Oreochromis niloticus: one gene and its partners. Each later gene encodes a partner of the first gene's protein in a complex. Links are inferred from orthologs where the notes say so. Each region holds a gene or a part of one and is shown in the gene's direction. Other genes may lie near its edges. The genes, in order: timm23a, timm17a, timm17b and timm21.

Region 1 (7,271 bases):
TTCACAAGGGGTGGGGAAAAAACCCAAGCTGATACTTAAAGACAAAAAGCAGGGAAAAGGGCCAAAACATGTTTTTCCCACTTCTCCTTTTTTTCTTCTTCCTGTGTTCTGGCTCTCTGTCTTCCTCTGTTATTTAAGTGGACATTGCACACATTGATGTGTGTAATAAGAGAGAAGAAAACACCCAGCTCACCATGGTTTCTCACAGGCATGCACATGTATAACAGAAAAAAAATAAAAGTGGGGGGGGGGGGGGGCGTGGGTTTCAGGTTTGGAGGACGAGATGGCTGGGGAATTGAAGGGAAATTGATTGTGCAAGCTCGCCCTTAAACATCTGCAGAGTAAATATTCCACATGATCACGGTCCGTCCCTGAAGCCCCAGAAAACCACAGCTAATAACCCACATGCTGTGTGTCATGGTAGCTATTGCTTGTTTTCATTTAAACAGAGAAATTCGAGCCTGTCGACACCTGTAGTTTAAAAAGTTCTTTTTAAAACTGCAGATTTAAAGTTTCTCACACGCAAAAAAAAAAAAGCAAAAAAAAAAGAATCACATGAGGGTTTTTTCTGTGGTGAATGAACCCGTGGGTGGCTCATTCGCCCTCTCCCTGCCCTTCCTGCTTTCATTGTGGAGTCGGGGGGGGGGGGGTTGATATTGAACTTCAGGCTTGGAGTTGAGCCTGCACTGTGGAGGCAACCCCACTGATCACAGAGAGAGAGAGGGGACATAATGTGACCACTGCTGACAATCCTCTGGACAGGAAGAAGCAGAGTGGAAGCACTGAGTGGACATAGCAAGAGAGAAAAAAGAGAAGAGAGAATGTGTGTGTGTGGATAGAGATGGGTGGGGGTGCGTGCATGTCTGGATGGGTGTGTACCCTTGTCTTCATTTTTCCTGTTTTCACTTGAGTTTTTGTGCTTTTTTTTCATTCTTGTTCTCTGGTATGAAACACTCTTTAAGCATCTGGTAATGTATTCTGCAGTCAGCGCTCCCCATTGCCAACACTGGGGCCCAGGGCTCCCAGAGCTTACAATCAAAGTGTGTTAGTGTGTGCATGTGTGTGTGGGAGAAAATGAGCAAAAAGTGAGAAGGAAAGACAGGTTGATTTACATTGCTATGTATGCACAGCATTCTCCACATAATGAACAGCCCCTGATTTCCTCTGCTTGGTAAATATTTGATGACTGAGCGGTGGAATGATTTTAGCTGAAATTCAGAGGACTCCTACAAGCTGCTTAAAAGTTGTATTTCAAATCCCTCTCTCTCTTTCTCTCTTGTCCTCTTCCCATGTAAATAAGGCCAACTCCCCCTAACTCCACACACCCTTCTGAGGCAGTTTAAAGACCCAACACTGTCTCCTTGTATCCTTGGCAACCAGCATACACTGGGGTCCTGTCGTGGCCTCTCTGTCTTTTGTGTTTGGGAGCTCAGAGAGACAGAAAGAAAGAGAGAGAGGGAGAGTAAGAAGAGAGGAGAGGAAGGAGACGAAAACAAGACTTACTGAAAAAGACAACAAAGATGACATCACCGCTATTTTATCCCACAACTGAAAATTTGGTTTGTAGCCCAACGGTGATGAGAATGATGATTATGATGATGAGTAGCCAGAGGCACAAAATGGGTAGCAGCTCAATCTGAGAGAGAGAGAGGGGGGGGGAGGAGAGAGAGAGGGGCCCAGGGCTGAATGGGGCATTGTGGGAAAGACAGTGGGCACACTGGGCAGTAACACAGAGAACACTAACTCACAGATCATGCCAGAGAGTCTGAAAACACCCACACTGGGCGACAATGGCAAACTTCATCGCTCCACTTGGCCCCCTCTGAATACACACATACAATGGCAGAATCCAAATAAGATGCTCTGTTATTCGTGAAATTCAACACACTACATTCCTTCAGTGCCTCCATCCCTTTGGACAGCAGCAGATGGCCTGGTCCGAGCTGCACTGAACGTGCACGTCATGTGTTGCATCACAGGTAGGGCACCCAGCTGGCCTGAAAGGTGTGACAGGTGTCACGTGGAAGTTGTTTTACCTCCCCGGCTCTGCTTCCCTGCTTCAAGTAAATGCAAATGGCGTCATGCAAATTTAACTTGTATGTGCCACCACTGGGAACAAATTTAACTTAATCAGTTAATTAAATCAAGCCTAATTAGAGCGAGGACCGAGAAGGACCAGAACCAGCAGGTTTGACCCTCTGCAACTGGTTTCATCTATACGGTGGGCTCTCTGCTGCCACCCTGTGTCGAATGTGAGGAATTGCACCTCTTACTCGAGAAATATTTGCAATAAACCGAACAGGTAAGGAGATAAAAGACAGGAAAATAAAAAACCCACAGCATGCGTCAGCAGGAGAGCTGAATTCGTTATCTGACTGAATGACTAGTTCCAAGAAAGGTACGACAATGAGTCTTGATGGGGATTTTTTTTTTTTCACAATTTCACAAACTTCTGATAGAAGGATTAGATTAGAAATAAAATAAGTAAAAGTTGCAGTAACGCCACAGAGATCTATGAGAATTAAATAATGATTAATAATCATGGGGTTATCTGTTGTACTAATTTGTTTTATTGCACCATATGTCAAACATCTGAAATTCATCTGCTTCATCTGGATGTTATCAGTCCACTCAATGGATGTGAGTCTCAGACAATGAGGCCTACTGATTGGATTTTTAAGACGTTTCAGTTTTTATACCCATTAAATAAAATGAAGTGTGTAGTGAGTATTTTGTACATAAAATAATTGTTGGTATATTTGTAATTAAAGTATTTTTGAAGCTGACAATAGAAAAATCATGAGGTCAAACTTGTTTTCAAGTGCAAGAACAATATTGTAAATTTACCAGTTTATACTGTATAATCATTATTACCAGGAGAAGCAGAATTTTAAAACAGATTGTTCCTCTTTCTCTTTTTTATTATGTTTTACCATTATCGACATTTTCATATAATTACTTTTACTTACATGGAATATATTCTTGTACCACCAATGCAATTTCTATCTTAAAAACATTCTATATCTGCTTTTATTATGCAAGGAATCGTGAGGCTGCAGAACAATATGGATTTATCCCAGCCAATCAGCAAAGATCAGGCTATGTGACAGATAATGACATTATTGCATGCAATCAATCAACAGTGACCTGGGGCATTTCACACCTCTGCGTTCTTTCAGGAAATTGGGTTTTTCTACCCCTACCTACTCTCACACCCGCGGTCATAACATTGAAACTAACAGCGGTAAGTTGTTCTATTTTTTGTGGCATAAAAAAGGTAGCACCATATTTGATCACAGGCCCTGTTCACCTGAAACTAGTGCAAGTAATGGTAAGAACATTTTTTGACATACACTGGATGGATCTGTGAACCGTACTTATTTCGTATTACAGACATTTTCAGGCTATAATAATTAAATATGAGTAATTTTATGGGTTTTTTTGCTTTGTTTTTGTTTTTGTTTTGTTTTGTTTTTTTACCTTTTAGCAGTTTTTATTATACTTAAATTGCATACATTGGTGTTTATTTTCCCTGTTAGTCTTATTACTGCTAAAAACGATATAGTAATTCAATATTTGTGATTTATTTTGATTTTGATTTCATTACAAATCAAGTCAATATTTTATCATTTTGTTTTTGGTAGATCTTTTTTTTCTTTTTTCTTTTTGCAGTGGTCTACTTGGCTCTTGTATGGAAGCTTACCCATTCAGTACTATGCAAGAGAATAACATAACATATTTGGGTTTATACAAAACTGTGTGAATGAACTTACATTAACTTAAATCTTTGAAGAAATGTATAAATAATTTGCCAAATTATCTTACTTGAGATTACAACAGCTTCACCAAGTACCATGAAGCAGGTGGCTGTGACTGGTGATATGCAGGTTTGTGTGTAAATATATAGCATAATAACCACATTGTCTTATTGGATACTACTACCTTACAGTAGTTTCACAAAGTATCATAAAGCCTGTCACTGGTACATGTAATATTCTGATTCATCAGAATATTACATATATTATTATATTATATGATCTCTATAGGGTTGAAATTCTGAATTTCCATACCCTATAAAGGGTTAAATGGATCTCGTGTCCACAGTTACCCTGCAGTCAGTTTTTTTACGCTCTGCCTGGTCCTCAAGTTTGCCCTTTAGTTAAGTCAACAGATCCCAGATCCGTTGAACTGTCGTAAAACCGTGGTTTTATTAACGATATCAGAAAGATTTTTTAGTCGACTTATCACTAATAGATAAGCAATAGTACGAACTTTTGGTGTTAAAAACAAGTCTGAGCCGATGTTTTCTCTCATTTTTCACAAGTTACTGTGGGTTTTGTTGACGTAACGACAGTGCAGCACCGGTCATCGCTTTACGGCGGAGCGTGCTGCTGGAGGTCAGAGGCATGACGATAACGCGAGATTGGTAATATCGAAGCAAAAAGACGTAATTTTCGCTCTAAAAATCCAGCAAGACCAACAAATACGACCTGTGTTGACGTTTCCTTCTGGCAGTAGTGAATTCAGGAGCTCGTCTGATATACGTTTGTCTAATAGCTTGAGGGTTTCGACATATCTTGCTAACGTTAGCCAGTCGGCTACTGTAGCAACTCCCCTTCAGCCTCCTGTTTGACTCTCGGAACATTTATCCAAGCATGGATAACAACTCACAAGGATCGGGGGGAGTTAAAGCAGGCCTGGGGAGTCTTTTTGGAGGGGGTGCACCTCAATACTCCAACACAGAGCTTGCAGGTGTCCCACGTAAGTGTCATGCAATCTAACTGTGATGCTAGTTACTATTACATTACTTAGGTGTTGCTGTACTGTCATTCAGTATCTGAAAAATCAACTCAGTGGATAATTGATCGTTTACATTACAGTGACTGGAATGAGCCCTTTGTCCCCTTATCTCAACGTGGACCCACGTTATCTGGTTCAGGTAAAGCTGAGTCTGTCTCCTTTTCTTTGCTGTGAGTGAGAATGTTTTGGATTTTTTTTTTTTCCAGGCATGAGTATTTGAATCTTGTGTTTTAGGACACAGATGAATTCATCTTACCTACAGGGGCCAATAAGACAAGAGGAAGATTTGAATTGGCTTTCTTTACCATCGGAGGCTCCTGCATGACTGGTAAGAAACTGGTACACTGACAAAACGGGTTTAGTGCTGAATATGACTTGGAAGCATGTGCAAATTAAAGTACTGTATAGTACAGACTAAGTAGAAGTATGTTGATGTCCTTGTTTTGTCTGTCCAATTCATCTACATTTTTTCCTGTTGAGAGCGACAGCTGTGGTCAGAAGATTACATAAAGGTGGAATGATTGCACTGCATACATCTTTAATGAAAAACAAGATTGAATTTATTTTTGACAGAGTCTAAATTACACATAGAGGCTCAAATATAATATACCAACTATTATTTGGTTAGCAAGTTCCACCTTGATCAGATGCTTTTGGTTTCCGTCAATAAGCTTCTGGCATAACTGTGGCTGGACATTTGATGACACTTCTTGGCAGAAATGATAGTTTATTTGTTGTTTCCCGCATGGACCTGGCTTTTAAGCAGAGTCTGTAACTTTGGAACATATTCATGTTCCATTCACGGATATGTTCATATGGGTAACTGCAAATTTAAGTCGAGCTTGAAGGTTTTTGGAGCAGGGGATCTTTCATGGTTGGCACTTTCTCAGCCCATGGTAATGTAAAACTGGCTTTTACATTGAATTTGACTTATGGACAGTGAGGCTGGTGTTTTGGTTTCCAGTTCATGGTAGGCTTGAGCCTTGGTGGTTCCTAGGTTGCTCCTGAACGTGCTAACCAATTTCCTGTCATAAGGGTGACAGTTTTGGTCATCTTCCAAACCTTATGTTCAGCTATGTTTAAAAAAAACAAAAACCAAAAACACAAGAGACAGACATAAAGTGTGGGTATAGAAACACAAATGCAACAAGAACACACACACAGTTAATGGCATATAAATCTGTCAATGTTATTTATTAAAACCAAAGCATGATGCAGGTGGAATAGTGTGAAATAATCCTTTGACTGACCCTTTGTTGACCTTTTCTGCATCCTTGTTTGAAATGCAGGGGCGACATTTGGGGCATTAAATGGCCTTAGAATGGGTTTGAAGGAGACCAGAGACATGGCATGGTCCAAACCACGTAACGTACAGTAAGTTTGGTTACAGAATTCAGTTTATCGAATGGTTTTACGCTTGGATTTGGGTTGCACGTTGTTCAAATGTTTATCTTCCCTCCCCAGGATTCTCAACATGGTGACAAGGCAGGGCGCTTCATGGGCCAACACTCTGGGCTCTATTGGTAAAGCTTTATTGTTACTTAAAAAAATGATGTAGAGGTGTTACTGTAACAAGAATATCTATGAATCCCATGGTTGGAAGATCTTAGTGTTACTGATTTAAATGGATGGATGTATTTACAGGATTTTTAGTTTTCTAATTCAGTATATAATCATAATTTAATTATTTTGTTTTTCTTTATGTCACTGCAGCCTTGCTGTATAGTGCTTTTGGTGTTGTGATAGAGAAAGCCAGAGGAGCAGAAGACGACATCAACACAGTGGCTGCTGGGACATTAACGGGGATGCTCTTTAAATCTGGCGGTTGGTGTCTTTTCCTTTTTTCTGCTTCTACTTTATATCTGGCATTAATGTATATTAATGTACCTCTGTGTGTTTTTAACCTTTTAAATATTAGTTTTTACCAATAAATGATCCAAACATTAGTTTTAGCAAATATCAGGCTGTCAGCAAGCAAAATGGCATTTACCAATGTTGGTGTTCATCAGTTATTTGTCATTTATTTTGCTCTGCAGTTTGATAAAGACTGAAAATTTCTTTGGTTCTTGTTTACAAAATGGGTGACAACATAAACAAAGTAAACACAAACATGTATGGAAATGCTCAGTTTTTTAGTTAAGCCTTGCCAGTACAGACTTGGACCCCAAGTCTGTACTGGCAAGCTGCCTTAATTGTTGCCTTAATTGTTCATGGCATCGATTCAGCAACGTGCTGGAGATTTTGGTCCACACTGACATGATAGCATCACAAAGTTGCTGTGCATTTGTCAGCTGCGCTTCCATGATGACTCACCACTTAGGTGGTCTGTTGGATTGAGATCTGGTGACTGTTGCCATTCAGCTGGCAGATTAGACAGTTGCGTTAACAAGCAGGTGAGCAGGTGTACTAAATAAAAGGGCCAGTGGCTGTTTTAAGTTGTCAGTTAGCAGACTTTTAAAATCCTATTAAAA
Region 2 (7,203 bases), on another chromosome or scaffold:
AGGAAGATAAGTTTCAGCGTCTGATGTTGTGTTTTGTGCAGAATCATTCTAGCCTGGGTTTTACATCAAAATGTCAGAAACACCATTAAATCAACACTACTGTTGGTTAATGTGCTATTTAAAAGTGAATATCAGTTCTAAAGGAAATTTAATGTGATTAGCAAAAACCCGAGTGTTGTAATGAAGCACATACATTATTACACGTTTTTCTTACAGAGCCTGTATGTTTTCAATAAAAGATTCTGCTATGTTTGCAAGTTTAATGATACCTGCCTGATAGAAGTGATTGGAATGTTTTAATAATCTGTTATTATATTATAATTTTTAGCTACAATAAATCAAATTATGTATATGATAATGTCATTAATTCTATATATATGTGCATATGATTATATTTGTATGAATATAGATGTGCTCAGACGTTTACATCACTGATCATGGGCATGTTTCAGGCTTTTAATGATTTCTTCGAACTGTTCTTTATCCATATTGCAATGATTGTACAGCACACAGCTTTAATTTCTTTGAAAAATAAGAACTGGGTACACAAGTTTTAATTTTTCCAAAGTCTGCACGGGGTCAAAATTATACATAGAGCCTCAAATATATACTTATACCTCAATAATACTTGGTTAAATGTCCCTTAACACATTTGGTAGTCATCAGCAAGCTTCCAGCTGGATATTTGACTAATACTGGTAGAATTGGTAGATTTTATTTAAATTGGTTGGTTTCCTGGCACAGACCTGCCTTTTAAACATTGCCCACAATTTTCAAAAGGATTGAGGTTTGGCCTTTTATTTGTTTTTCTGTCTGTTTAGAAGTATTGCCTTGTTAAAAGAACCTACTTTGTCCAAGTTTCAGCTTTTTGGCTCCTAATTTGAGGTGAAATTCAGGAAATTGGAGATAGTCCTCCTTCTTCATTTGTCCATCCACTTTGTGCAATGTACCAGTACCACTGCCACCATGCTTCACAGTTGGTACAGATGTCTTTGGTTTGAAAGGGTCACCTCTACTCTTTAAAATATAACTCTCGTCAGTGTACCACAATAGTTCAATCTTTGTCTTGTCTGACCATAAAACTTTTCTCCAGAAGGCATTTGGTTTGTCCATGGGGTCAGCAGCAAATTTCAGTTGTGGTTTAAGGTGTAGATTTTGGATCAGGGACCCTCTCAGTCAATGGTGATGGCATGTTTAGAAATGGTTCCATGAAACGTTCCCAACTTGTATAAATCTACAATTCTCCTGAACTTCATTGAGTTCGTTGGACTTTCCCATTATTCAGAGTATTGGGGAATTCAGTGGTTGCTGTCAAACAGATGCTTTTTATGGAGACAAAGAGGAACTACCAATCGTAATCTCTCATGATCATTGGCAAGAAGCAAATAGACCTCGGCCTTGTCGAGTTAAAAGACACTTTAAAACCTTCAGCAGCACTTATTAAAAGGTTTTAGTCTGTGTCTGTTTTTGGCCTGTGTGTATAATTTTGACCCTGTGTGGATTAGAAAAAATTACAAATAAATTCAAACACAATTCTTGCATTTTAAAGTAAATAAAGACGTATGCTGTACGATGCTTCCACCCTGGAAAAGGAGCAGCTCGAAGAAATCCTTATGAGCCCCAAATGGTCATCACATTCATGCCTATGATGAGTGTATGGAAGCTTCTGACCACAGCTGTATATACATTCAAAAATGCAATGGCTTGTACTCACATCAGGATTTTACGACATCACTATGATTTTTGTGGCTAGCTGGGGTCCAATAACTTACTTAGGGTAAGGTGGAAACTTGCGGTGTCCATATGCTAAAAAATACCTTTCCAGGAAAGCAGGAGGCCTCTCGTGTCTCATAGTTTAACTACTGAAATAACCATGGATTCAGATTTTTTAAATTTATTATGTATCTGCATTTCTTGATGGATTAATTTAAAAAAAACTACAAGGCAGAACCTTTACCAGACAAAAAACATTATATCAACTAGCGGATGTTTTCGTAGCATGTATATCTGTGCTTCTGCAGTGGACCACGAAGAACTTTTCTTCTATCTGTTGCTCTTTACATAATGTGTTTAAAGCTACGTGGAAACATTGGGAGCTGTCTAGTGTCCACCCACCAGCTGGAAAGGTAGCCATCATCCAGAGAAAAAAGAGAGCAGCAGCAGCAGGCCAGTTTATCTCTCTGCAGCCTTGCCTCAGTCTCTGCATCCACAAAATGCCTATATTTGGTCATTTCTCAATGAGGGCTTGCTCTGTAAGTCATTCCTTTCTCGTTCCTAATAATGGGCAGCGAGCCAGCCTTCTGTCTTTTAGCTGTAGCTGCTACTCTGACCAATAGTCTCAGAAGGAAGAAAAAGAGGAGAAGGAATGAAATGTTGAGATTACTGGTTTTCAGTGCCATCAGAAGGCCTCTAAGTACATTGCATTGCTATTACTAAGAAAACACTAGGAGCACAGCAGAGTGTGGTTATTTTGCTATGAAGATTTCTATTTGTGTTGCAGAACATGTAAAAAAAAAAAGATTTTATTACGGGGTGTTCTATTGTTTTTCTACCTGTTTTTTAAGCTTTGTTGCTGTAAATAAGGCTTTATGCGATCAGTGTGACGTTGCTTCTGTTGATAGAAATGTCAAAACTCTCATATACATGTCTGGCTGTCCTTTAATTTGCTTCATGTTGCTTATCGATGTGAATCAGCAAACATCTCAAGTACAATGTGCCATCTTTGCCTTTTATTATTTTACAGCTTTATTTTGTGTTGCTTACAAAGGATTGCTTAATACATCTATAATAAGATTCATACCCCACTGAATTGTTCACAACAAACTGTGAATTATTACACCATTAATGATGGCAGCAGCCAGGTGGGGTTTATTTTTATTTTTATGTGCTCTGGTTTATTGTTTCTAATTGTGTAGGTTTTGTGTTGTTATGCTGCACTTTCTGTTCCTGTTATGTTTAAGTATCACAGTCTGTATCCACTGAGTTATTTAGTCCCTTCAGTGCGTTCTTAGGTTGACTCAGTATTTCAGTTATTCATTCCTCTTTTATTTTGGTAGTCTTTTGTATCTCGTCTCTTGCAATTAGTTTAACTTCCTGTTTCTTGATTTGGTTGGACAGTGTCTCATTACACTCATGTTTCTGATTCCCCTGATTACCTTCCATGTGTATAACTAGTCCTGACTCCATTGAACTTTGCATTTTGAATTCCATGGTCATGTTGTATGTTTTCCCTGTCTGCTGTTAGATTCAGTTTGCGTCTTCTCATTGACTTTTGCATTTCTGGATTTCAGCAACAACCTTTAATAAAAGCTATGTTTTTAGTTACATCTGCCTGCCTTTGAGGAACCTGTTTTCAGGGGCGTCTACAGATTTTTTTCATAGGGGTGACCATATGGGGGTAGGGTTGCCATCTGTCCCGTTTTAGTCGGGACATCCTGTATAATAAGCAAAATTAGTTTGTCCCTTATTCCACTTTAAATGTCACGTATATAGACCGTTACCTGCAATGTCACATACAGTGCATATTTACACTATACCCAGTTGGTTGTGCACTTTGCTTCTGGTAAGCCAGAGTATCCCTTATTTGATAATTAAAAAGCTGGCCAATGGGGGCAGGGGGGACTAAAAACATTGGCGTGGCACACAAAAAAACTGAATTTTGAGTTTTATTATACTGTTGTCAAATACAGGTTACTTGAAAAATATAGCAAAAAAGAGAGAAAGAAAAGAATTATATGCCTAGTTCATTTCCTGCTATCAAAGTTGATATCACTGAAAATAGGTACATATGAAAACCAAATAAGATTTTAAAATCCATAATAATCTGTTTTAATTGACTGATTGATTGACTGGAAGTCCCAGTCATCGCTTTAATGATTCTCAGCAGAGTTGATCTGAAGCGGCTTAAGCAAATTTTACTTAAGTAAAAGCTGATTCAGAATAGAATAGAAAGAAAGATATAGACAAAATAAAAACAAAATAAACAGACAAAATAAATATCTAGATGCTTCAATATCAGTTAAAAAAGAGAAAACAGCATCGAATTAAAAATACTCAAGTATAATATAAGTCTATAGTGATTGAACAGTTCTGCTTTTTTACTTTACACCATTCTTTACAAGATTTTTTGGTATTTCTATGGATAGCTTTACGAAATAGGCTGTAATAACTTTAATAAACTCTCAGGACGGCAGCCTGAAGCTCGTCCTTCACCCCTGCATGCTCTGTTCCTTTAAGACATGACGTTGTCTCTATAGTGTCGTTACGTCAGGTGTTTGATAATCGTTACGTCAGGCGGAACAGCAAAGAACAAAATGGAGGAGTATGCCAGAGAGCCATGGTGAGTCCTAAAATTAAAATTAATCCCGTTTTCCGCACTGTTTCAGCGTGTACTGCAGTGGGCTGCGTTTTGAATACATGCCATGTTAGTTGTGTTTAATGTTTTTTATTTTATATCACGTGACACGACCGAAACACCTCGAAACCGGCCGGCTAGCTGTCGTTAGCAGAAATGCTAACTTCGCATACACAAGTGAAGGTAGTTTGAGCGAGCACTGCGTCGGGACGGCTAAGTCACGTTGTGACCTTGTCGGTTTTATTGCCACATGTCATTGCTTTAAATTTACTGACCCCACAAACCGGTGCTTAAAAAAGGCATATAACATCTATTGTAAACGCATACTGGTAGCCATTCGGGAAAAGTTGGAGTAGTTGTTTTAGTATTATTTTGCTTTGGCGCACAAGTAAGCTAGCTGGATTAGCTACTTGTGCGCTATCTAGACTGCAGCCTTATGACGCCAGCTAGCTTGAGACATGTCCTGTTCAAATAGTTTATGAACTTTTAACAACGTCACTGAGGATTTAAAATAAATGTTTTTACAATTACATACACTTTTTCCCGGTGGCTGCCCTCGTGTATGCTTATTTTGGTTTAGGTTTAATTTATAACAACCGTGAACTAAATAAACTTTTTAAAAGTTAAAGGTTGGCCTGGTTCGCTGTTTTTCTCCCACTTATGTTTTTATTATTTTGGCCAGCTTTGAATAACAATTTAAGATCGGATACTAATGGTCAAAAACACGGGACACAAGGTTACTGTCCTTCAGTATCACTGCAAAATGTTCTTTTCGTGATTTAAGATGTAATGCATCTGTTTAACATAAACGAATGGCTATGACTAAAATGGAGAATCCAGTTTTACATACATAAACGATTACATTTTCCTGATTTTGACCAGAAGTCATATTACATAGAATGCAACCATCTAACTATGTAAACCTGTTCTAATAAAGTCGTGTGTGAAAAGTAAACGTGCAGTGTGTTTGTTTAAATTTGAGATGCGGTCATGTGAAGTATAATCCTCACTGCTCAGACCTTGTGTTGAAACGTAATGCTTCATGTTTTACACTGGGTCAGAGGTTGTCATTAAAATAGGACACAGAGAGTGACCCTGTGTGTTTGTGTGCGTGTCTGTGTTTTTCTTCGTCTGCCTCCATCTCGCCCTATCCCTAGCATCGTTTTCTGTCACACCAACCCTCTGCATGCCCTCCTCCACTACGTTGCCCCTCTGAGGGCTTCCGCTTTTGCTCATGTCTGGCAGGTCTGTATTCAGCATCTCTTTTTTTTTTTTTTTTTTTTTTTTTTTTTTTTTGGTCAAATGTGTGTGTGTGTGTGTACACATATATAATGTATGTATGTATGTACACACTAACCGTCCACAGCACATGTTCAGACCATCTCAGCCTTGCCTCTCAAACTTAGTTTCTGTTTAAACTGAGCTTTCGCTATAATACTCATTTCTAATCCTGTCCATTGTCTCTTAGTTCACTGCCAATCTTAACATCTTCATCTCAGCCTCCTGTCTTTTTGTTAGTGCCACTGTCTGCACATCATACATCTCGGCAGGTCTCACTACTATTCTTTTGTAAACCTTCCCTTTCACTCTTGCTGTCATAAATCAGCCCTGACACTAGTCTCCATCACCACCGCCCTGCCGAATCTCTTCTTCACTTCTCTTGTGCACTGTTGGTTGCTTTTGGATGTATTTAAACTCATCTGACTACTCTTCACAGCTTCACTGTTACATCGGTCTCCCTCTCAAAGGCCAAGTCTGTGTGTGTATAGTTAGATTTTACGAATGTTGATATTCAGATGACCTATATCTTATTGTCATATTACCAGTAATAAACTAGTTCTTCTTCCTTTACCTTTGGATTAATTTAGACTTACAGGGAACATTAAGAGATTGTTATGAACATGCAATGAGAGATCTCAAATGTCATGACATTATTAACTTAAGCAAACTAAAATGTCTGTGTTCTGCTTTTAGCCCCTGGAGGATTGTGGATGACTGTGGGGGAGCTTTCACCATGGGAGCTATTGGAGGAGGAATATTTCAGGCAGTGAAAGGCTTCAGAAATGCACCCTCGGTAAGTTCAAGGACTGTTTTCTGGTCTCAGTCAAAGCTGACATTCAAGGTACTGTCCTTGGGGTCGGTGTCACACTCAAAAACACTTGATGATGAAGCAGTGTTTCTGTCCCTGTAAACAGGAAATTTTCTTTTTAACCCAACCTGAATTTCGAAGACGCACCATTTTCTTTTCAACTTATGTTATCAATCATAATCTGAAAATTCTAAATCTTTGGTCTCAGAAATCCTGACCTGACAGTGAATTTCCACTGATGCATGTTTTTTGTCTCTCTTTTTTATGTAGGGGATGAGCCACAGAATGAGGGGTAGCTTAACTGCTATCAAGACCAGAGCCCCACAGCTCGGGGGTAAGAACAATTGCCGAACTGTTTCAAAGGTCATTTCTCTTCCTTTGTAAAGAGCATGGGCTGTAGTCAGCAGCATGTTGTACATCGTCTGCAGTTCCGATGGTGACAAGTTAATCTTGGGAAATATTTCAGCTCCGTATATTAAAGTAATTATCCTTTAATTAAATAAGCTGCTATTGGAGCCCGAAGGCATAATCTGTGTACAGAATTTTTAATACTTTATTTGCTGTTGAAGTGTGTTAGTGGTAGAAGTCACTTGTGTAAATATGTGACGTGGGTGATTGCTTAACAAAGTGACAAGCGTATCTTCACTGATAACTTCAGCTGATGCAAATCTTTTCTTTGGCGTGTTGCAGGTAGCTTCGCAGTATGGGGAGGCCTCTTCTCCATGATTGACTGCGGTTTAGTAAAAGTGCGAGGGAAGGA
Region 3 (7,594 bases), on another chromosome or scaffold:
ATATCTGCTGGCTATAGTGGAAGCATTGGTTGTTGTCCTGAGAGGTCGGTCTGCTGACTTAAATCTGACAACCAGACTTCCCAGATTGGGGATTAATTTGATTCTTTTTCCTTTTTGGTTATTAGCAAACATAAATGTCAGAATCTGCTGGCTCTATTCCTGAGTGCTGCCTAGTTGGTATTACTGTAGAATTTCTTCAATGAATGACCCAGCGTTTCTTTTTTCTTTTCTTGTGGCAGATGTGAAGCAGGACATGCTGGAAACTATTGTCCCAAAAAGTGAACATGATTCTGTAATGGTGGTACTGGGTGAGCACAAGGGAAAGGTGAGCAAAGTAACCTCACTGCTTTACATATATATATGTATTTGTTTAAATCTGATTAGCTGTTACTGATCACTATTTTCCCACCTGATTCAGGTTGGCCGTATTCTTCAGCGGGACAAGAACAAGTGCAGAGCGATGGTCCAGCTCGACAGATACGAGGATAAAGTGTTCACATTAGACTATGACTCCATTTGTCACTATGTTGGGGCAGCAGCAGACCACTGATTTCGGATGTTTACTGTAATATTCACTGTCCTTTTTCCATCCACTTCATCCCAGCTGTTTTATTTTTTTTCATTATTCAAGTATTATGGACTTTAAAAGATTTCAATTTTGTAATAAAAACTTGTCAAGATTTTTTTTTCCTTGTACATATGGCAATGCAACAATTGAGAAAAAGCTGCAACAGATCATTTTCACAGTAGTCTTAAGTTTATTATCATGTTCACTGATAGGTCTAGTAACAATGAGAAGTGAACCTTTGGGTCATATAAAAACATATTTACAAATGCTCTACACGGCAGGAGTATGAATAGAGTAGCTGTCCAAAAAGTTCAGCCTTTCATTTCTGACATGTACACATTTCACAATGAAACAAAAGCCTGTCAAACTATGATGTTTAGCATGTGAGCATAATGAAGACCAACTGTAGAGTTGTGGGTTTTAAGATGCTGTCTTCATGGTATCTGCTTTTACTCCTTGGGTAGTTGGTTTGCTGCGTTAGCCCGAAGAACAGCTCCTGGACTCGGGTACGGACGCTGCTGGAAGAGAGGCCCCGCTGCTGTGGTGTCTGCACCCGTTTTTGCTTCATTGCGTTTGGGCAGCCCACTTGACCACGACCCCCTGCAAAAATGAATACGTTTGTGTTTTAACTGCATTTGTAATCAGCACTACAATGTCTTCTGTGGCTGAGAAGGGGTTTTGTCAAGCCTGAGAAAACAACCTTGATCAAATTGCAATGACAATCTCAGCTTTGTTTTAGGAATATTTTTAACAGAAACCCTGGAGGTGTAGATTTTTTTAATAGACATTTTCACAGCAGAGAATTTGGCTCATGGTGGCAGGAAAACTGCAAATGGGGTAAATTTAGTTAATGATGGCTACAGTATGTTGCATTTACAGCAACAATAAGACTGACTGCACATACAAGGGGTATGGAACTAGCGTGCTGAAGTAGTATGGAGCCATTCTTTAAGTTGTTTTTATACCTGTGCTTTCTCTGACATGCCAAGCCAAAATGCTCTTTAAAAAAATAAAGTGTATGGCCCCTTCCCAGTGTTCACACGTTCCCACTCTGAGGGCTGAGAGCTCATAAGGATATGAGGCCTTTCTACAAGTCTTTATTTTATGCTTAAGGGAATAAGTGAGTTGTGATAAAAGCTGGTCAAATTTGGTCAAATATTAAGGAAATGTGCTACAATCCTGTATATATTTTCCTCTTTAGCAGAGCATCTTTTATGAAAATGGGAGGAAACCTAATCCAGTTCACTATGAACATTATGCTACTGCAATAAAATCTGCCTCTTGTTGAGGTATTGTGCCTTGCATGAAATGTAGATTTATGTGAGCTCCGTAAACCAGGGATATCAACTTTGCTGATTACCATTTTGAATTTTGAGGGGACACACTCGAACACTGTAGCTGTGCTGTGTGAGGGTTTAGTTCTTTCGTCTAAGATAAAAATGTATGATGGGAATTGATTTGATCTGTCTCTCATAACTATTTTTTCAACAAGTGCAACACAATGATTCTGGCAAAATCGGAGTACCAGAGAACGACCCGTATATAGCTTATATCAAGGTGACCATCTGTACTGTACCTTGGAGCATCAGAGTAAGCACTTGGATCCATGGGGTCCATCTCGTCATCTTTTCTACCTGTAAAAAATATTAGGTGTTCAATATTTAATCATGTGAAAGGCGCCGATGTGTAAACATGTAATGAATCAGATGTAAACATTACCTTTTTTGCTTCGACTGTATGGTGCTGCCTCATCTCTTCTCTGCTTTCTTCTGTCTCTGTCCCTCCCATCATCACGCTCTCTGTCTCTGTCCCGGTCCCTTTCCCTGTCCCTTTCCCGATCTCGATCCCTTTCCCGATCCCGGTCTCTGTGTCGTTCTCTGTCCCTGTCTCTGTCTGGTTTCTCAACTTGCTTCTCGCCTTTTTCATCTCCTCCTTCTACTAAAAACACAAGTTAAGGCAAGGATCACAAGATTAGCCATGGCTGAAATCTGTCAAAAGCAAACTGTATTCTGAGATTGTACATGCAAAGTAACACACGTCTACTGTAAGAGGACTGAAATTGTGATCATTAGTGCCTCTTGAAAACATTACATTATAGAGGCTGAATAAAAGCATACCTCTTATTTTCTTGGCAGGTTTTGTTATTACTGCAGTTGGGTCATTTGGGGATAACCAGGCAACCATATCTGTCTCGACATTCCAGTAATAAGGTAGACCACTGTGTAAGGAAAATAAAACATTAGTGATTAATATTGTAACCACAAAATTAAATAAAACTTACTTAACAGTTTAAAAATACACTTTAGCTCTCCATGACAGTAGTTATAATGTTCAAGGAGAATTTGACTTCTCAAGAATAAAATGAGAAACAAGAAAGAAAAAGTAATTAGCGCATTCTGATTGTGAAGTTTATAATAATCATTTTGAATTAAAGTATAAAATTCTTATTATATTAAATTATAGTATATTAAGTGTACATACCAAGCAGAGTCAAACACTTTGTACCAGTTTGGTGGTAGATTCTCCACTCTGGTGGCTTCATAATCTACATTGTTGTCATCATAATCTTCAGCAATAATCTCCTCATCTGCCCCTGGATTAATTGAAGGGGAAAAGGTTTTTAAACAGCACAAAACATTAGGAGAAATCCATGAAGGACAGAGACCCAAATATGAAATCTGTTATACTACCTTGCTCTGTTGGTTTAACAATCCCTCTCTTGGCCAATCGGGCCAGCAGTGCTGGAGGTAAAGGCATCCTGAAAGACGGAGTCCATGTGAAACACTGTTCATATTACGGCTGAAATTCACTTGGGGTACCAAAATAACAGTTGCAGAACAAATGCTCATAACACATTATTACACAGTATTAAAATAGTCTTAGATTGGTCATAAATCAGATAATATAATACATATCATTTACTTTCAATAATATGTACCCTTTGATTAATTAGGACATATAGAAACTCATCACTTACACACAAACCACTGAGTCACATGTGGCCATAAAGTAAAATGCACATGATTACCACCATTATATAGTTTAGTGATCTTTAATATAAGCACATTTTGTAACAGTTTCATTACTTTAATGGGTTATTTTATATATTAGACACAAAATTGCAAGTCTGTTAATTTTGTTTTTTTTTAATCATCATTAAGTTTAATATTTTTGGTCCACTATTCATCTCACACTTTACTGAACACTTGGTTTTGAAACAGTTCCCATATTTACCTGTTTTTTATTCTTCATCTTCTTCTTATTATTATCATTATTTTGTTTTGTCCATTTTCTCTGAGGACATTTCTTGTTTTCTGATAAGCGGAGATTATGCCTTTACTGTAATAATTCTATCAACAGCAGCTTTAACACTGCCCAGAACCACATTTTTGCAGCAGACTTGTCACGTCTGTAGACCATCATTTCCTGCAATACATTACAGCTGGCTGTTTTGATGTCGATATCACAATGATATCCATGAATTGTAGTTTAAAGCATGCATCCTGGTAGGTCTTAGAATGACTAAACTCCTGAACTGTTATGTGTCCTGTCATCATTTAAAGTAATCCTCTGCTCATAAAACTTAAAGTAACTTCACAATCCTAATAAATAAATCAGTTTCTTAGGTTATATGGCCATCCTACGTGAATTCCAGGTAAAACTTTACTAGCTCCTTGTCTTATATGTATGTCCATATATGTATTTACATATATACACATACATATATATATATATATGTTTTCTTTGTAATAATTTGTACCATGTACAATACGAAATGTTTCCTTTAACAAGAAACTAACACGCTTGCGGTGCATCCGTGGCTGCAGATGTAAGAATAACGCAATAAACCAAACTATGCGTCTCCAAAAAGCATCCACACCACACAAACACAAATGTTAACCTTTACTTCAAAAGACTGAACAATAAGAAATAATTAAATTCTTACCTTTTTTTAAAAAAAAGGTGGCCCTTTTTTATCGTCAAGCTAACGATACCTCTTTCCAAAACAGCATACACGGCGCGCTTAATGATGACGTAATCACGTCCTCTTGACGAAGACGACGACGTAAACAGACATGGAGGAGTATGCCCGAGAGCCCTGGTAAGATTAGAATTTAAGCGTTTGTTTTTATTTTAGAACTAATTAAGTTGGAGTCAAGTGTTGACTTTTTAATTTCATACTCAGTTTTGATGTGAGAGTGAGCAGAAAGGCTCTGTGGGTGTTGCGGCCTGCTTATTTAAGGCATATAAAAAAGATAAAGCTGTTATATGGAGGCGCCCTCTGCACACACAATAAGCTGGTAGAGTCACCTTTATCTGAAAATGTCGCTGTTTTTAAGTGACAGCTGGAGTTAGGATAGAAATTAAAAATAGTGGGTATTTTAATCTCAAAATATGGTTCCAAACAGGCAGTACATGAAGCTTTATTTATTTATTTATCAAGTTAAGACACACCTCCAGTCAAGGTTGATCCCCTACAAGTCAAACTTTAATGACAGAGTTCAAAGGAACGGGATAAAGAATCCAGATATCAGCCACTTCATTAGGCATACCCGTCCACCTACTTATTAATGTAAACCTACATTCTGTCACTTGGCAACAACTTAGTGCATTTAGACATATGGACATGGTCATGACGCATTGCTGAAGTTCAGGCTGGAGAAGTTCAAACATTTGATTTTTATTGATTTTGAACATCACATGATTGTTTTTGCCAGAATGGCCGATCTTTTCAATATTTTCGAAAATGTTTAACTACAGCCTTTTCCCCACAAAATAATTTCTAGGGTTTTATAGAGAACAGCGTGAAAAAGAGAAAATATCCAGTGAGCAACAGTTATATGGTTGAAAAAGCCTTGTTGATGTCAGAGATCAGATGAGAGTGGTCAGACTGCTTTGAACTGAAGGCAGCAGTAACTCAAATAACCACTCCTTACAACTGAAGTGTGCAGTATAGCATCTCTGAATGGACAACATATCAAACCTGGGCTATGGCAGGAGAATACTAAATTGTCACTTCCCTTCTCCCCACCTCATTAGTTCTTTCACTGCTGTTTGACATATTCATTTATGATGTTTGATATGTTTTCTAACACAAACATAACTCAGAGGTGAGTATTTAGTTATATTTAAGGAGCTAGTTCTTCATCCTTGGGTAATATACATTTCTCGGCCAGAACTGTGCCCATATTGTCTTCGGCGTCATCCAGACCCCGATAGATAACTTCTGCATTTTGTATATGTACTGGATGTTAGTTGTCAGATATATCCCCATTGTCAGTTTTCCTGTCACATAAATATCCATTTCTCTCTTAACCCAGCCCCTGGAGGATAGTGGATGACTGTGGAGGTGCTTTCACAATGGGTGCAATTGGAGGAGGGGTGTTCCAGGCGGTCAAGGGCTTTCGAAATGCCCCTGCTGTGAGTTCAAAACACAGGTTTTTGTTTGTTCTCTGGCTTGTCAGGTTGTTAAAGGCAGAATTCAACTGAGCTCTAATATTTCAGGGTGTCGGACACCGGCTGAAAGGGAGTGCAAAAGCAGTGAGAGTTAGAGCTCCACAGATTGGAGGTAAGGAGTTCCTGTTTTTTGTTACACATGGCAGTTAGTTAGTAATATACCATTTTTTGTGTAGATTAAATTGTTTAGGTACAGTTAGCTTCATACAAGTAGCTGAAGTCTGGTTACTTCTTATGTTGCAGGTAGCTTTGCTGTATGGGGAGGGCTCTTTTCCACAATCGACTGTGGTTTGGTTCGTCTGAGAGGGAAAGAGGATCCTTGGAACTCTATAACCAGTGGTGCGCTGACTGGAGCCATCCTAGCAGCACGCAGTAAGGAGCTCATTAGCTCAAAAGAAACAAGACACCACTGTGTCTCTCTGTGTCAGTAAATACAGCCCCAATTCTGAAAAAGTTGGCACGCTGTGTAAAATGTAAACAAAATTCCAATTTTTTTTACAATTGGGTTTCTACATTGGGATAATTAGTGTGACTCGCTGAATATTGCATTTTTCTTCAGGTGGACCTCTAACAATGATGGGCTCTGCAATGATGGGGGGGATTTTGCTCGCTCTCATTGAGGGTTTTGGGATTCTCCTAACCAGATACACAGCGCAGCAGTTTCAGAACCGTGAGTGAAGTTAATTATGTTTCAGAAATGATATTTAAACTGCACAGAACCAATGGTTTATCAGTAGTTTAGCAAAATGTCACATGATTAAATGTGTGAGTGGTTTTATACCCCTGTACTGGCGTCCACTCCTCAGTTATGGCTGGACTTCGGCATAGGGCAACATTTTTCATCTCACTGGTCCCATTTTTACTCACCCTCACCACACTCGTAGCATTTTTTGTTTCTATCAAAATGTTTTAAAGAACCTGAGGAAAATCGTCCACTCTCTCAAGGTTCTTGTGCAGTTTAATTTGTGTTTCCTGTTTGATTAATTTTTCCCAAGAACACAATTTCTCACAATGTTAATGATATAACAACTTATAAAAAATGCTGAAGAATGTGAGACTATTAAAATAGTTTTTTTAGTGTTACTGTGAATAACCAGTCAAATGTATGAGCATCAGGTTTCCTCCAGCACGGCTCAAGTTAGATAACCTGCTGAGACATATCTTATTTTGGATGAGATGAGCCGAGGGAAGGCTACCAAACCAAAAAGCCTGAAAGCACAGCAGACCTAGACAGTAGTAATATTCATATAAATGTTCCTGAGGGAAACATAGATTATATCTTGATTACATGCCAGTGAAGCATGAAAAACTGACTTTGTTGTGTCTTCTTCCTTGATTTCTCCAGCAATTCCCTTTGCAGACGACCCTAGTCAGTTACCGCCAAAGGATGGAGATCATCAACATCAGGGGCAAAGGGGGCAGTTTCAGTAGAGAAGGTTCAGGACTGAAGCCAGCTGTGGACAACTGAAAGGATAATAGGAATGCCAGCACATGAACAGCATCTACCAGGATGACCAAGAGGTGGAGATACTGGTCCCTACTGGATGCTAATACATACCTCAGGGACAA
Region 4 (7,574 bases), on another chromosome or scaffold:
AAAATCCAGAGGCCTGAGATGACAACATGCCAGAAGAAAAACCAAAAATGAAAAAGAAGCGCAAATGGTTTTTGAGACTATTCACTTAATTGACTTCAACTCCGTCTCCTATAAAATCACAGTAATATACAACTAAATATTAACAGTTACTTCAAGTAATTTGTTTTTTTATCGGCTCCAACCCCCCCCAACCGGTCGTGGCAGATGGCCGCCCCTCCCTGAACCTTTTTAAAGGTAGTTTTTCCTCCCCACTGTCGCCATGTGCTTGCTCATAGGGGATTGTTGGGTTTTTTTCTTGAATTCAGTTCAGTTCAATTCATTTGTATGTAAATACTGTTGAATTGAATTGAACTCAATTAAAGAAGATTTTTAGGAGACGGCGTCTCTGAGTGAACCAGGTTATTATAACATCTTACCCATAAAAAGTTACGAGTGACCAATCAAATAAAAAATTGGATTTACCAAAACATCTGAAGTGTGAACATTTAATTTTGTCTCATTTAAAACATATTAAAATGTCAAATTACTACAATCATAATAATAACAACATAATAACAGCAGAAATAAAAATGTTTACATCCTTTTTGAAAACATTGTTCTGTGAATGATATCCACTGCATTTGTGCTGTTGATGCCTTTTGAAAGCATTCCTAATAGCATCTATCAAGCAATATGCCTTGCTCAATGGTTCATGGAAGCATGAACAGTTTTGGTAACTGGCTTTGTAAATTGAAATTCTACAGCTTTATACTAGTAAACGCTTGTGCTACATGCGGAAGACAGGTATAGTCAGCTGAGTATCCAGCCATTATTATGAAAGTTTTCTCTTTGGCGTCCACAAATGCAACAGCTCATAACAAAATGGTGCAAACACAGGTGAATCCACGTAAATATACTTTTCATATCTGAAAGTCCTGAAGAGAACAGTGTTATGTAAAAAAGTAGCAAATTAGTTTTTGGTTGAAAATTTCTTTGTTGTAACAATGATTTGGGGCAATAAATCTTACACCATTGGAAAACCTGTTTATTTCCCTTTCAATGGTGACACGGTGGCCTGCTTTCCATCGCTGTAAGAGTTTTAGTGACACGATCCAAAGTGGCCTTTGTGACACTGGTGGAGAGTATGATCAAACTCTGGGAGGCCATGTTCAAGAGGGGGCGAGGAGGAAGCTCCCAGAAGCCCTGTAAGATGCGGGGAACTACCTCTATCACCTCTTGCAGTGAGCAGTTTGGAGCTATGCCGTACCTGCTGCTTCTCTTTAAGAATCTCAACGTAATTTCTCACCATGCTGAGGAGTTTAGTTGTTCTGTAGAAAAATTTTATAAGAATGATCTTTTAAACATGTGTAAAGCATCACAGAAACTGTAGCTGGACTGTTAATAATTGTCAGATGTAACTCACTGAAATTTAGGAGGTATGGACTCTGGAAATGTGGTTCTGGAAAATTTTATTAATGGCATTTACTGCCCACACCTGAAACAGAAAACACATTTACAGTGCAGTTTTGTTTAGATGTTATGTGAACAAAATAAATAAACCTCCAAGTTACTACAAGTCTTGTGAGTTTTCTAGTCTCACTAGTTTCAGAAGAGGTTTGGCTTCTTTGTCTCCAAAATCCCCCAATTCAAACTCCCAAAGCCTTCAAAAGAAAATAAACAGAGGTTTTCTCTCAGCATTTACACTTCATCACAAACAGACTGTCATGTTTGAGGTGGATGGTCAGTATCACAGTTACTCACTGCTCTCTGAGTGTCTGTTTGCTCTTCTCCACCAAAAAATCTCTTAGGTCTTCAGCAGTGATGTGTGATGGGATTTTGCTTTCCTGCTGAAGTCTGAGGAACTCCATCATCATTGCAATCTAAAAATAAAAGGAGACATTTAAACATCACCACTCTCAGGTCCTGAGAAATCACCTGATATTTTACATCAGCTTTGGTTTGGATGGATCTCAGTCTTACCTGAGCCCTGTAGCCCAGAAGATGCCAGCAGATCTTCACAGCCATGTCGTAAATGTGTGTTTGACAGGTGTTGTTCGACATGAACAGCACCTGTCAAAGAAATAAGAAGTTACTGATTGTTACTTAAGTTTATTCTCAGTCTGTCAGCTTTTAAAACTACATCAAATTCTTTAAACTGCTAAAATGCAGAAGGAAAAAAAACTGTCACATACCCTGATGGGTTTGTAGATTCCTCTACTTGCTTCAATTGAAATGTTGTTGTTGAATCACAGTCGGGAACAAAAACTGTCAAATACCATCCAAATTGCGTAAATTGTGTAATGTGAAATGCAGAAAGAAAAAACTCTGAACTCAATGGTTTCTCTTGTACAGATGAGCTATTTTTAAAGTCTGATTAAATTAAATTAAAGTCCGATTTATTTTTATTTTATTTATTTAATGCAGAATTCTAGAACGGTCTCCATGGAAATACTTTATGCAAGTTAAAGGAAAACACTTTATCTACATTACACTAAACTTTATTTATCATATAAGTAGATAAGTGTAGGCTACAGGTGTCCTTAAGTCACTCCTGTGAAAAGATGCATACAAGCTGGTGAATCAGAAAAGACAGAAAGTCACCCTGCAGCATCGTCTTTTTATATTATTTGCCTGCTTATCTCCATTTTCTTACTGTAGATGTGAACATGAGCAGCAAAACAATGGTGGAGGGGACTAATGCATAAATTTGAAGGCTGACAGGATGTAAACTGGCCCTTTAAACAGTCCAGAGGGAGAGACCTCTGTGTAAAGCACAACAACAACAATAATAATAATAATAATAATAATAATAATACCCTAAATAATGAGGTCATTAATTACTAGGATACCTACTGCCATGTTTTCTTAGTTACTGATGTTTAGAGAGGCCACCTTTGTTATGGTTCACAGGAGTTCAGGAGTGAGTGATGAAAGTGATGCTACATTAGGGTCTGTCTCTGGACTGGTGGTTTGCTGCTCTATGAGTTCAGCAGGAGGAGTTGAACCCACAGCGGTTCCCTGGTGGGTAGGAAGATCATACTTCAGGTTCAATATTATAGTTACGTTCTTGATGGTCTGAACCTCAGACAGGAACTGGTCAGGACAACTGACTCAGATTTTTCAAGTTCTGCTACAGAGAGAGAACTAAGACAGCAACACCTACACCTCCTGACCACACAATGTTAATGATTTGTCTTCTCAGTGTTGCCATAATATTTTCGGTTGCTAAATACAGCTAAAAGCAGAAAATTCATTGTTGAAAAATCAATACTAAAGTGCTACATTTTGACAAGTTACCCCAAAAAGTCTACAAAGGTTATTTTCTGTCCACCAAAGTAAATATGATTCAAGAGATTTTTGTAACTTCACTTGTCCAAAAAGCAAATAAAGAGATTAAACAAAGATATACTGAATGACAGTCAGCATTACCAGAGTTAGCAGAGCTACTGTAGCTTGGTTTATAGACTTGAATTAGGAGGGATAAGAAAAGTGAATTCACTTGACTGGAATCTGCAATCTACTGACATCTAATGGTGAGATTTTACAAGCTCTAACTTTAATGATACTTGAACATAGGCCAGGCACGGCATTGCTCTTGCCGAGCCTGTTCAGCCAGCAACACATCTGTGTAATATGTGAATAAAATCAAAACCTGTTCCAATCAAATTTCCCAGTAGAGGTTTTGACCTTTTGTATTGTACTTCTAATTTCTGAAAAATTACTCTAAAGCTTCTTCTAATGCTCCAGAGTCTATTTGGACCATTTGGACATGACAACCATTAACTGAAGTATGAAATTACGTCAGAGCGCATGGAGTCAGAAGTAAATTGCAGTAGATTTTGTCAGTGTCTGTGGCACATAAATTCAACTTACCTCCAAAACTGACAAATACATTCATAATTAGCACACTTCCCATTGTGTGAAGACTGTAGCAAAACGTCTAAAAAAACGTCTAAAAGGGTCTAAAAAAAACCTATTAAAAACTAATTTACCTGCTCATTTGATGTCCCTCTTACATGGTAATTCACTCACTTGCTGAAACTCACACACAGACACACACACAGCAGATGTTTTGCAGATTTTTTTTTTTAATTTGAGATTCTTATGTTTAGACCTTTAAAAAACATAATTCCACTCTTAAAGTGATTTAAAGAATATGAGATTTCAATATTAATTCAGATTTTTTCTGACTCTAAATTTTCTTTGGTCATTACTCAGTTGTTTTTTTTTTCTAATGTACATTTTGAAGATGTTCAGTTACTTTCCAACTTTGAAACTTCGCCGTCTGTGTGAACTTCAGCTTTCAACAGTTCAGCACTTTGGTTTATAGGTGAATGATTTGGTGTATGTCAGTTAAATTTAACAAGGTTCCCAAATATTTCTTATACTGCAATTTCTTCAGGAAATGCATTCTCTAGTTGTAACTGTAAATTTTTTCTTAAAGATTTTTTTTTATCACCTGACTATTCAGCCGATTTCGGACTTTTTATTTTATTTTGTTGAAGACGTTTTTGCTGTAGACGATGATGACGAGCGAGTGACGTTTCACTGCTGCTCTGTCGCTTTAACGGTGAGTGACGGCAATATTGTGCGCCGGTGAAGCACAAATCCGGCGACTGACTTGACCCAGTCCTGTTGCCCAGTGTTTTGGAGTAGTTTAGTGCTGTGAGCTGTGAATTCATGTATACTAAGTCCGTTTTGTTTACTTAAACCACACAGTAGGCTGGTTAGTGTAGTTTTGCGATATTAGGAAGGGGCTTGCTCAAATCAAATCATGGCTTATATTCAGGTTTTGAAGGTCCTGCACCGAAATCTGCAGCACAGAGCACCACAGGTCAGAGTGCTTATCCAGACGCACAGGAGAGTGTCAACATTATCAAGACTGGCCTTACACAGTGGACTAGAGGCTAATTCGCCTGTGCTAAGCTGCTTAATACAAACACACAGACGGCGGGGTATTTGTCTCGACTTTACAGCCAGAAATAAAAGCAGCCCCGAGGACCGAGACAGGTCAGTGTCCAAGTACCAGAGTGGGAGTCCAAAGCCTTCAGCTGCACAAAAAGGTATGCAAGGCAAGGAAATAAAAAGGATTTAAGTCGTGCTAATATATGTACTCAGATATTAGCAGCGTAGTTTCATGATAGCCTGCTATTTTCAAAGCATACCATTAGGCTTTGTTCGCAGGCACTGTGGAGAAAATATAGTATATTTAACCAAGCAGTGATTTATCCCACTGCAGCAGCAGTTTTGGGACTAAAAAATACACGATTATTGTATTTATAGCTTATATCTGGAAATTAATCGCTCTGATTATCACCAGCAGCAGAGGAAATATCTTAAAATGGCCCAGGAGTTTATTTACTGAATAACTGAACAAACACTTGCCTTAATTAGTGAGACTCTAACTTTGCTCATTTAAATGAAAACTATGCACAGCTGTTGCATAATAACCCTCAACACTGAATGCCTTCCAGTGAAAGAAGCTGGCAGGGACTTCACCTACCTGATCGTGGTACTCATCGGGCTTGGAGTGACAGGTGAATACAGTGGAATTTAAAAGCTGCAGTCATAACCCAGGCAATTCATCATCCTGTTTGAAATGACGTCTGTGTGTGTTTTCAGGTGGGCTGCTGTATGTGGTGTTCCAAGAGCTGTTTTCATCCGCGAGTCCAAATAAAGTGTATGGAAGAGCCTTCGATAAAGTCAAGTCACACCCAGAAGTACGAGCGATATTAGTGACTGTCAAACATGAGGCCAGGCTGACAATGTTACAGTTCGGTATTTAAGGTCCTCTTGATGATCTTATGAGGTCATATAAAAAGTTTCTTGTTTATTGAAAATGTAGGTGATTGGTGCATTTGGTGAGCCAATCAAATGTTACGGGGAGACCACCCGTCGAGGAAGGAGGCAGCAAGTCAGGTTGGTGTTTTGTTAATTTGTCAAACAAGTTCAGCAACAAAGCCCACTTTTATTTAAGGTAGCCTTAACATCTATAATGGCAGTCTTTGTCTCTTCTCCTCAGTCATATCGAGTACCTGAAGGATGGAATGAAGCATATGAGACTTAAGTTTTACATTGAGGGCTCGGAGCCGGGAGTGAAGGGGACAGTGCATACAGAGTCTAAAGAGGTTGGTATTCTGCCATTCAAAAGCCAGCTTATGAAATACATACATGCACAAGCACTGATTGACACTTCTGCGGTGAATGTTTTGTGTCTTTTCACTAGCACCTACTCAGCTCGACTCTGCTCTATTCAGTTTCGGTCATTTTCAATCATATTTGAGTACCACCTCGATGTAGGTGGGGTCACTGTAGCAAGGCGACCTGGAAGTCCCATGGCGTTATTTGTATGTGACACAAACACAATGCAAAAAATGGAGATGTGAACCAGCACTGCACTCATCACTCCAGGTTTTGGCATCACTAAATAGGGAGAGCATAATTAGCCAGCCACCCTGCCACTGCCCTCGAGCCCACTGCACCACCCCTCCACACACCTCCTTCACAGGAGGGCATCAAGCCAATTGTTTACCTGCTACCAAACTGACGCTAAAACTCTGGATCTCATCATTGGACCACGCTGTTGGTTTGTGTTCTTATGAAGGAGTTGCTCTCATGACTCACCCAGTGATGTCACTCGCTGCTCAATCAGTGGCTTGCGGTCTATTGATGTCATATTTTCAGCTTGACTCAGCTCGCTTGGAAATCCAGACTAGTAGGTACTCAAAAAGTACCTAGTAACAAGTACTACCAACTAATAGAAAATTGAGTAATTTTCAAATTGAGATAAGCCGAGTAGGTCCTAGTGGAAAAGATGCTTTTGTGGGGCCTACAATGTAACCTACCTATCGTAGGCTCGTTGTTGCCAGCGTTTATGCTTGTGCGGGTGTATTACGGGTAAATTTATGTTGATGTTGTAATTATTATTCCCCATATTGAGGCAGTGATTGTTATTCTCTCACAGTTAAATTGAAAAGCCGTTGCAAAAAAAGTAGCCAAAAATGCACAGAAGAAATCGGCTGTAATGGACAGACCAATCACAGTGGTTGCGGGCTGTGACATGTAGTTAGATTCATGTGCATGTCAGGTTATGTCATAGTTTCAGAGGATTTTGCAGTTACAAAACGGCTTCGATGGGTAGATTTCACACTGAAGCATAAATCCCCAGTAAGTGGCACTGTGTGTATTCCTAAATCTTCACCTAGTTTCATATGTGATGGCCATCACATCGCTGATGTTTTTATATGTGTTTAATCAACCAGTCTTCTTGTTGTTGATTTTACAGAATCCTGAAACTGGAAAATATGAGTTTCGTTATATATTTGTGGACATGGACGTCTACCCAAGACGGACCATTATTGTGGAAGATAACAGATAAGGACCATAAGACGTGTGATTCAGCGTTATGGAAGCATGAGGAGTGTGTGTCAGATGTGCTGCTGGACAGAAAAGCTGGAGAATTTGCCTTCACATACTGTCAGAGGCTGTTAAACAATTACAGCTTTGGTGTAGAGCCTTGCAAAGCAGAGATCAAAGGATCACGTGGCCCCATGCTACTAATTTATAAATGTTTGTTTTTTGACTAGATTGTGATC

What was found.
Region 2: timm23a (region 1) and timm17a share a complex: the UniProt entries of both Homo sapiens proteins name them as parts of the TIM23 complex. The link is inferred for Oreochromis niloticus from reciprocal best matches to the Homo sapiens genes TIMM23 and TIMM17A.
Region 3: timm23a (region 1) and timm17b share a complex: the UniProt entries of both Homo sapiens proteins name them as parts of the TIM23 complex. The link is inferred for Oreochromis niloticus from reciprocal best matches to the Homo sapiens genes TIMM23 and TIMM17B.
Region 4: timm23a (region 1) and timm21 share a complex: the UniProt entries of both Homo sapiens proteins name them as parts of the TIM23 complex. The link is inferred for Oreochromis niloticus from reciprocal best matches to the Homo sapiens genes TIMM23 and TIMM21.

What each region holds. Positions count from the first base shown.
Region 1 is NC_031973.2:8,934,308-8,941,578, forward strand, and holds the start of timm23a (mitochondrial import inner membrane translocase subunit Tim23), read left to right. Parts: upstream 1-4,271; 5' UTR 4,272-4,655; coding exon 4,656-4,761; intron 4,762-4,880; coding exon 4,881-4,939; intron 4,940-5,034; coding exon 5,035-5,128; intron 5,129-6,089; coding exon 6,090-6,174; intron 6,175-6,264; coding exon 6,265-6,323; intron 6,324-6,513; coding exon 6,514-6,624; intron 6,625-7,271. UniProt on the Homo sapiens protein: Essential component of the TIM23 complex, a complex that mediates the translocation of transit peptide-containing proteins across the mitochondrial inner membrane.
Region 2 is NC_031970.2:6,728,659-6,735,861, forward strand, and holds the start of timm17a (mitochondrial import inner membrane translocase subunit Tim17-A), read left to right. Parts: upstream 1-4,193; 5' UTR 4,194-4,313; coding exon 4,314-4,339; intron 4,340-5,461; exon of another isoform or gene 5,462-5,588; coding exon of another isoform or gene 5,589-5,599; intron 5,600-6,328; coding exon 6,329-6,428; intron 6,429-6,713; coding exon 6,714-6,777; intron 6,778-7,133; coding exon 7,134-7,203. UniProt on the Homo sapiens protein: Essential component of the TIM23 complex, a complex that mediates the translocation of transit peptide-containing proteins across the mitochondrial inner membrane.
Region 3 is NC_031984.2:10,675,418-10,683,011, reverse strand, and holds the start of timm17b (mitochondrial import inner membrane translocase subunit Tim17-B), read left to right. Parts: upstream 1-4,584; 5' UTR 4,585-4,644; coding exon 4,645-4,670; intron 4,671-5,889; coding exon 5,890-5,989; intron 5,990-6,073; coding exon 6,074-6,137; intron 6,138-6,268; coding exon 6,269-6,397; intron 6,398-6,584; coding exon 6,585-6,695; intron 6,696-7,370; coding exon 7,371-7,456; 3' UTR 7,457-7,594. Other genes in the region: gpkow (G-patch domain and KOW motifs-containing protein), read left to right, coding at 240-325, 419-550; pqbp1 (polyglutamine-binding protein 1), read right to left, coding at 1,018-1,168, 2,145-2,202, 2,288-2,506, 2,686-2,786, 3,050-3,161, 3,259-3,325. UniProt on the Homo sapiens protein: Essential component of the TIM23 complex, a complex that mediates the translocation of transit peptide-containing proteins across the mitochondrial inner membrane.
Region 4 is NC_031974.2:20,962,523-20,970,096, forward strand, and holds the start of timm21 (mitochondrial import inner membrane translocase subunit Tim21), read left to right. Parts: upstream 1-4,559; 5' UTR 4,560-4,753; coding exon 4,754-5,042; intron 5,043-5,453; coding exon 5,454-5,516; intron 5,517-5,601; coding exon 5,602-5,699; intron 5,700-5,824; coding exon 5,825-5,898; intron 5,899-6,001; coding exon 6,002-6,107; intron 6,108-7,264; coding exon 7,265-7,357; 3' UTR 7,358-7,574. UniProt on the Homo sapiens protein: Participates in the translocation of transit peptide-containing proteins across the mitochondrial inner membrane.